Tamandua tetradactyla: one gene and its partner. The protein of the gene in region 2 purifies or fractionates together with the protein of the main gene of each other region. This does not show direct contact. Links are inferred from orthologs where the notes say so. Each region holds a gene or a part of one and is shown on either strand. Other genes may lie near its edges.

The links. Proteins that work in one complex are often made in the same cells at the same time.
Region 1: the proteins of CTNNB1 (region 2) and TOP2A purify together in Homo sapiens (affinity purification with mass spectrometry; 3 studies listed by BioGRID and IntAct, with this or other methods). This does not show direct contact. The link is inferred for Tamandua tetradactyla from reciprocal best matches to the Homo sapiens genes CTNNB1 and TOP2A.

Annotation. Positions count from the first base shown.
Region 1 is NC_135332.1:26,944,528-26,948,273, forward strand, and holds the start of TOP2A (DNA topoisomerase 2-alpha), read left to right. Parts: upstream 1-1,337; 5' UTR 1,338-1,481; coding exon 1,482-1,502; intron 1,503-1,521; exon of another isoform or gene 1,522-1,663; intron 1,664-2,373; coding exon 2,374-2,529; intron 2,530-2,724; coding exon 2,725-2,815; intron 2,816-3,122; coding exon 3,123-3,186; intron 3,187-3,746. UniProt on the Homo sapiens protein: Key decatenating enzyme that alters DNA topology by binding to two double-stranded DNA molecules, generating a double-stranded break in one of the strands, passing the intact strand through the broken strand, and religating the broken strand.
Region 2 is NC_135341.1:46,094,982-46,098,727, forward strand, and holds the start of CTNNB1 (catenin beta-1), read right to left. Parts: upstream 2,369-3,746; 5' UTR 2,168-2,368; exon of another isoform or gene 1,958-2,167; intron 1-1,957. UniProt on the Homo sapiens protein: Key downstream component of the canonical Wnt signaling pathway.

The DNA.
Region 1 (3,746 bases), on a different chromosome or scaffold from region 2:
CACCCTTGTTTCCTGACATATTATACATATTCCCCTCCTCACCAGTCTTCCCTTGGGCTTTGCCAGCAGTGGGCACAGGGCATGCTGGAGTTATTTCACAACCTCTGGTTTCCTATAGAAGAAAAGGGGAATTAAATCCACAAATTGCATTACCCGTCTAAGGAAAATTCCTGCTTTCTGATTCTGATATCCTTAGCCTCCTATTCTAAATGCCTCCGCTCATCTCATATAACCAATCTTCACAGAACTGAGGGAATACCATTATTATCGACAATTTTTAGTAGAGGAAACTGAAGCACCACAAAACTTGGCAAATTAAGGAGCCAGGACTGAAACCCATGCAGAATATAGGAGTAGTGATTGGGAAGGGGGTGTTTCAGAGAGAATTAGCAATCAAATTATGTTACTTTTTTCTATCATCTCCTTTTTCTTTTGTCTTCTTAACATTGTGGATTGACAAGTATAAATCCACTCGAACATTTATACCTCAGAGTAATAAACTAAAAAGATTGTCAATTTGGCGTTTCCTCACCAAACGTGAACAGTTATTCTGGATTGCAGAATTCAGAATTTAACACTGAAGAGAGCAAAAGGAACAAGTATTCAGGCATCCCCGGGCAGTCTGAGTGAAAAGATTTGAACATATCTCGCTGCAAAACTGGCAAAACCTTGAAGCGGCAACTATAAACTATTCCTTTTATCAGTTGCAGTCCATAGCTGCTGAATGTTATACTGTTTTGTATGACCTCTCTACATCCTACTATACGAAAACTAAAAACTACAGCTATATCACAAATCGTTTCTTTGGAAATAAATTCTTCGGGAAGGCAAGTTAGATAGGCGCCGGACCCTCTTCGCTTAGCCAACTCTCTAAGGCTGTGTCCTGAAAGCTGGCGCTCAGTTTCCTCAGGAAGGTGGAGCTGAAACTCCTATTCCTTTCACTAACTACCTCAGGAGGTTTTCAGATTGCAGAGACTAGAAATAGGTTAGTGGTTCCAGAGAAATAAATATCCTCTCTACCCTCTTCACTTTCTCCTGGCAGCTTGCACCTCAGGTTTTAACCCCTTGCCGCTTCCACAGGAACTCTCTTCAGTGTTTTCCTCACAGAAAGAACGACCCCAACTCACTGGCCACATCCCCCGTCTGTCTCCCCGCTTCTACGCCTAGTGGTGCCTTTCGAAAACGCTTTAGACCCGCCTCCTTTGCCTAATTGGTTCATTCGAACAGGCTCTGGCCAACTCGGCCGTTTATAGGTGGTTTAGATGTGGACAGAGGTGATTGGTTCTTCTGGACGGCGTCGGAGAAAGCGAGTCAGGGATTGGCTTATCTGGCTTAGGCGGGCTAGAGGAGGTTCAAAGGGGAGTAGGCGAGCGCGCGTAACCGACGGCTTCTGAAGAGAAGTGGCCTGGTCTCCGGTCGTTTCGCGGCTGACGCCCGTTTAGTCACGTTCAGGGTCCTCGAGCCCCTTCACGACTGTCACCATGGAGGTGTCACCATTGCAGGTACGGCTCGCGGAAGGGCCCGGGTCGTGGAGCCTCAGCGTATCGGGGCATCCCCCCGGCTGCCGGTGAGGGGTGAGGGCTCCTGGGCGCCCGCGCCGCTTCGGAACTCCTCCACGGGCTGAGGGCCCGTATTCCCTGGACTCTGGGTGATCGTGAATGAGGTGAAACCCCTTCTTGGTGCTAACATTGAAGTATTATCGGCTAGACTGCAGTCAGGGTGTTGGTTTTGTTTTACTGTCTCTAGGGGCGGGATTCAGTTCGTTCTGTGGTAAATCTGCGTTACGTGGGCTGTGTGTGGCTTTAGTAGCACATGCTTTCCCCTCCTCCCCTCTGGGAAGAGTGCGGTTGAATGTCGCTGATCTCGGAAAGTGCAGCGCCTGGCTCAGCGTTCCCGCTGGAGTTGCTGGCAGACCCGAGTTGCTCAAAAAATGACCTTCCTGTGCTCAAAACGTGAACGCGGCCAGATGATTCAGTTGATGTCATCTCTCACACTCTGCTGCTGCAGAGCTAGAATCTGTTTATGTGCTTGGAATATAGTAGGCACTTGGTAAATAATTGTGGACTAGATGGACAAAGTGGTGTTTTTATCGATACCATCTAGAGCCGTGATCAAGGAAAATGTTTTCATGTCAGATACACTTGGTGAGATAATATGTCTATTTAAAAATGACACTTGAGTGCTAAGCTGCAGTTTACCTTGTCATCTTTGTACAAAACTATGTACATTTCACCAATACCTACCAAAAGACTGCAATTTGTTATTGTGTTGTTTAAGCATATCATTATGGCAGACATTAGTTTCTGATACATCTATGATTTAAAAGCCCTTTTCTTTAAAAAAAAATGCTTTTCTTCTGTTTTTTTTTGCTAGCCTGTAAATGAAAATATGCAAATCAGCAAAATTAAAAAAAATGAAGATGCTAAGAAAAGACTGTCTGTTGAAAGAATCTATCAAAAGAAAACACAACTGGAACATATTTTGCTCCGCCCAGACACTTACATTGGCTCTGTGGAATTAGTGACCCAGGTAAAACATGCTAATTAAGTGCAATTACTTATCCGTTAAAATATGTACTTTTCCTCTTATGTTCCAGCATCGCTGGAACTGGCCTAAGTGATTACATATGTACTATAGTATTTAATCCAGAATACTTTATAGTAATCGTGATGATAAACAAGAATATAAAGTAAAAGTAACTATACTTCTTTGCCTTATTTCTAGCAAATGTGGGTTTTCGATGAAGATGTTGGCATTAACTTTAGGGAGGTCACTTTTGTTCCTGGTTTGTACAAAATCTTTGATGAGATTCTAGGTGAGTAAATTCTTTTCATATGAAGATCTACAGGTCAAACCCTTCATAAGAAGTATCATTCCTTACCAGATCCTCTGTAGCCAGAGGTTCTATCATTTCAAACAACAGTTGGTGACGGTGGGGTAGTCTCTGGAGTCCAGGAAACTGAGTTCTTTCCTAGAAGCAGTGCTTTGAACAAAAATTTTCTAAATGAAAAACCTTGTTAATGCTATTGCTGTGCTGTCTGGGAAATTTTTTTCCTAAATCTTTGAATTAATGTTCTAAAAAGTACTTCAATTTCTTACAAATATGTTGTTGTTTTTTTCAGTCAATGCTGCGGACAACAAGCAAAGGGATCCCAAGATGTCTTGTATTAGAGTCACAATTGACCCGTATGTCTTTTGCTTAGCCTTTTGTTCGTAATATCTTGTTGTTGTCGTTATTCTTAGCTACATTTACTTTGATATTAGTGAAGTTGACCTTTTTTTTTTTTTACGGAAGTTTACAAAACCTACAGAAACGCAAACCACTAAAATGAACAACCCTTATGGTACCTACTACATAGATCAAACGGTTACTGACATTTTGTCATATTTTTTCCATCTATAAATATTGTTTAATGAATTCAAAATAAATTTACTAACATTATGACACTTAAGCCCTAAATAACTTCAGCAAGCATCTCCAATCAAGAATTAGCCTAAAATATTTTGGCGTCTGGAATTTTTAGCATTTTCACATAATGCTATTCAAATAGTAAGCCAGCAGGTGGTGGTAGAGAATAATATAAGACTTTTTTTACGGTATTGTTAAATACTATTTCGAATTAGAACCATAATGTATGCCCAGTTATAGCTAAAATGTCTGAGAATTAACCTAAAATGATAACTAAGAGATAAGTTCAAATAAACTTGCAGCATTTTGTTCGTCAGCTGGACAGTTTATAATTGAG
Region 2 (3,746 bases):
TGGAATGTAAATTTTTCTACATAATGATCTTGGTAAATGAAGCAATCAGATAATTAGTTCAAAAGAAAAAAAAAAAGGAAAACGGATGCTTCTTGACACCTGAACCCTGTTAAATGCTTCATTTTTATTAGCCACTATATGAAAAAACAAAAGTTGGTTACCTCTGAAAACGATTTAAAATAACTGTTTTAGCCTCTGGAAGATTCTCAGGCCTCCGACTCCTTGCGGAGTCTAAATTACATACTATGCTAAGCTTTCTAGCACAGTTCTTTATTTCCTCCCTCAAGGACTTCAGACTTGAATAGTTTGAGCATTCCTTTAATCCTATAGAACAGTCTTCTGCAAGTTTTTCAAGTTCTTCAGTTACTGTTGCAATCACTTTAGGGCCTTGTCCTTGTATGTGGCCTTCAGAACAAAGACTAGGTCAAAATAATGAATATCGGGTACAAAGTAATCAAATTTTGTCTAGTGTGAAAGAACAGTCTATAAAATAAACCCTGACAGAATTTTTTTATACCAAAGATTTTGTGTTTTAAATGTAAAAGTAAAATAGATTTATTACTAAGTTAGTTCAGAATAAGTTTAAACACTCTGAAATACGAAAGTTTCACTAATTTAAGCAAATAATAAACAGCAGCATAATGCAATTAACCTTTCAAGCTATATCTAATATTACTTTCTTAGAAAAAAAATTAAGACAACATAAGGATATCTAAAGATATATTAATGTTAACCAAGTGACAATCAAATGGCTTCCTAAATCCTAGACAAGATACTTTAATTTAGTATCTGAAAAACATTAGCCGAGACTATCAAAGGAAACGCTGCTGTCTCTTCAAGCTGATGTCTAGTCTAAGCCACCACTATTCATGATACAAAGCTCTCATTTCACTAAAACCACTCCTCGATTTCCTTTTGCCGACCTCTGCATACCAGCAGCCCAGGCCCCCTTCATTCACCACGCAAAAACTCAGGGGGAGGGGAGACCACAGATGTCTGGAAGATACAAAGTATGAGACAATGCCTCCCTCCAAACGCCAACAGAAAACGAAGGAAAGTACTACACCAGACTGACAAAGCTCTCAAGCCGATTCAGAAGCGGTCTGTGGGAACTTAACTTCGAAAGCCTCTGTTCAAAAAGTCCTTTCCCCAGACAAAACACCGAAAGAAGTTGCCGTACTTAAATTTCATTTGGACAATTTCGCTCCACTGAAAAGAAAACTGCTCCAAAAATCAAGTTTAACTGTCACAAAACTGAGTAAATTATTTCTACGAACAACATTTTCCAAGCAGAGGCTGAATCCCGCGGTTCATTTATATGAAACCGTAAACCGCGACACCATTCCCCCCTTATTTTACCAAGGTCTCACACCCACCGCCATAAACCCAGAAGACTCCCAGTACATCAACACGCGTCGCTACTGGAATCACCTGCACGACACGAAAAGATAGAGGTACAAGACACGGATTTGATACGTGGAAACCCTCCTGGCGCATCGCACCGGCTGCACTAAGAGTTTGGTTCCTCTGAGGTTTAAAGTTGGTACGGTTTTAACAAGCTCCAATGCCAAACTCACATAGGCTGGGCATTAGAGCATGATAATAATTCTCTTGAGGAACGAAAGGAGGAATCTGGAGAGAAAGTCCAATGGCCCCATCCCTACCGCAGAGGGCACCTAGCGGGGAGTGTCCCGGCCCCAGCGCCCAAACCCCAACTCCCCTCTTGGGCTGCGAAGGCGAAGGCTCCCACCCCCACCCCGCCCCCCACCCCAGCCCCGGCGTATCCTGAGGCGCAGGGTCCCTCCCCCAAACTCGGCCGCGGCCGGGGCCCCGGACGGAAACACGGCTCCCCCTTCCCGCCCGCCATCCGGGCTCCTGGACGCATGCCTGCGGCGCCCCCTCCTCGCAAGCGGCGCCCCCCGGGTCTCCTAGGGGCAGCGCGACCGGATCCCGGGCACCGCCACCGCCCTCTACCCCCCGAGCGCGGCCCGCCCCCGCCGCCTCCCGGCGACCTCAGCCCATACCCCCAGGCTCCCCAACCCGGGCCTCCTGGCAGCGCCGGGCCCACCTCCCCGCCCGCCGCCAGGACTGCGCGCCGCGACGAAGTTTGGTTCAGAACAAGAGGCGGGAGCAGCCCTAGAAGGTTAAGGAAAGAAGCACCAAGCACCTCAGGGGTACAGGGTCCGCCCGCCGCGAGAGTCTGGGCGTCCTCGGCCTGCGGTCGGGGATCGGCGGGGACTGGAGCTCCTCGGACCTCTCACCGTCTCCGTCTCCGCCTCCCCTCACTCTCCGCTCCCAAGGCCTGGCTAACGCGCTGCCACAGACCGAGAGGCTTAAAATGGCGCCGCACAAGGACCTCTTATAAGACGCGCTGAAGCCACTGTATCCTGCCGCCGCCGGCATGGCGCGGAGCGTTCCACCGCGTGAGTGCAAGGGGCGGGGCGCGGGCGGGCGGCGGAAAGTAGTTCCAGCGACGCGAAGCCCTTCGCTGCTGCTTGTCCTTCCCGGGCCGGGTGGGCTATCCGCTTGCTCCCTGTGCGCCCCTTAGTGGGGTGGTGGGTGCTGCGCGGAAGCGGAGTGTAACTTAGGGTGGCGCCATGGTGCGAGCTGGGAAGCCGGAGTCCCCGCGGGCTGGGGTCAGGGGAGGGCAGCACCGAGATGAGCTTCCACTGTCCCTAGCCCTACGCCCCCCACCCGGTGTGTCCCCCGAGCAGATATGGGCCTCACTGGGCGCTGCCCGCGGGAGGCAGCACCTCGGCCCGGGCCCTCGGGGACCGCGCGGAGCTGGTGGACTTGCAGGGCGGGTCTCGGGAGGATGGAAGTTTGGGTCTGGGCCCGGCAGGCATCGACTGCTGCCTGGACGCCGCCGCTGCCCCCCCACCTCCCTCGTCCCGCTGTCTGTTCGGAGGCTCCGGCGGGGAGAGAGTTAGGGGCTTCCGCCGCCTTTCCGCTCTGTGCCACAACGCTAGGCGCAGGGCCTGGCTCGCAGCCTACGCGCCCGCCACCCCAAAGAGCCCCCAGCTGTCCGAATCGTGGACCCCGCGTCCCAGTCCGCTGTTCACCGTGGCTGTGGCCGTGACTGACCAGGGCCGAGCCACCTACTATCCCACTCCCGAAAGCTGTGAACTCTCGTTAGAATGTGCGCCAAGCCCGCAATTCAACAAGTCCTTATAAATGCCTACTGTGAACAAATGACTAATCAAAATGGATTAGCTGGAGACCCCTGCCAATTAGGTTAATTTTTATAGATTCCATTTTTATCTAGTTCCACTAAGTATCAGATTTATTTGTGGAGGTGAATTTCTCCGGTAGTACTTATTTGAGAAATCCGTGTGTGTTTATAGAAGGGGCTACCGATTAGGCAGGTTCGATTTTTTTTAAAAACTAGTTTTCTATTCAAAAACAACAACAACAAAAAACCCATTTTCTAATTCGTTTTGATAGGCTGAAGTTGGGTCTTCATGTCCTTTGGAAATGCCTCCATTGTAAGCAAGCAAGATTGGCATTTGTCGAAACTGAAACAATTATGATTGATTCACTTTCTTTAGTCTCATTTTATGTTTTTTTTTTTCCTGTAAAACGATGGGGAGAGTACAACCAGCAACAGTGAAAGTTATCTTGGGGCTTTTATCCTAGGACTATAATTAATGAATACAAACAATAGCCTTTGTACATAAGTACAGGCATGAAACCTATTTAGTCATTCACTGAAGAAGTGAAGGGTAGTTTTAGGCATAAGTAAGTGC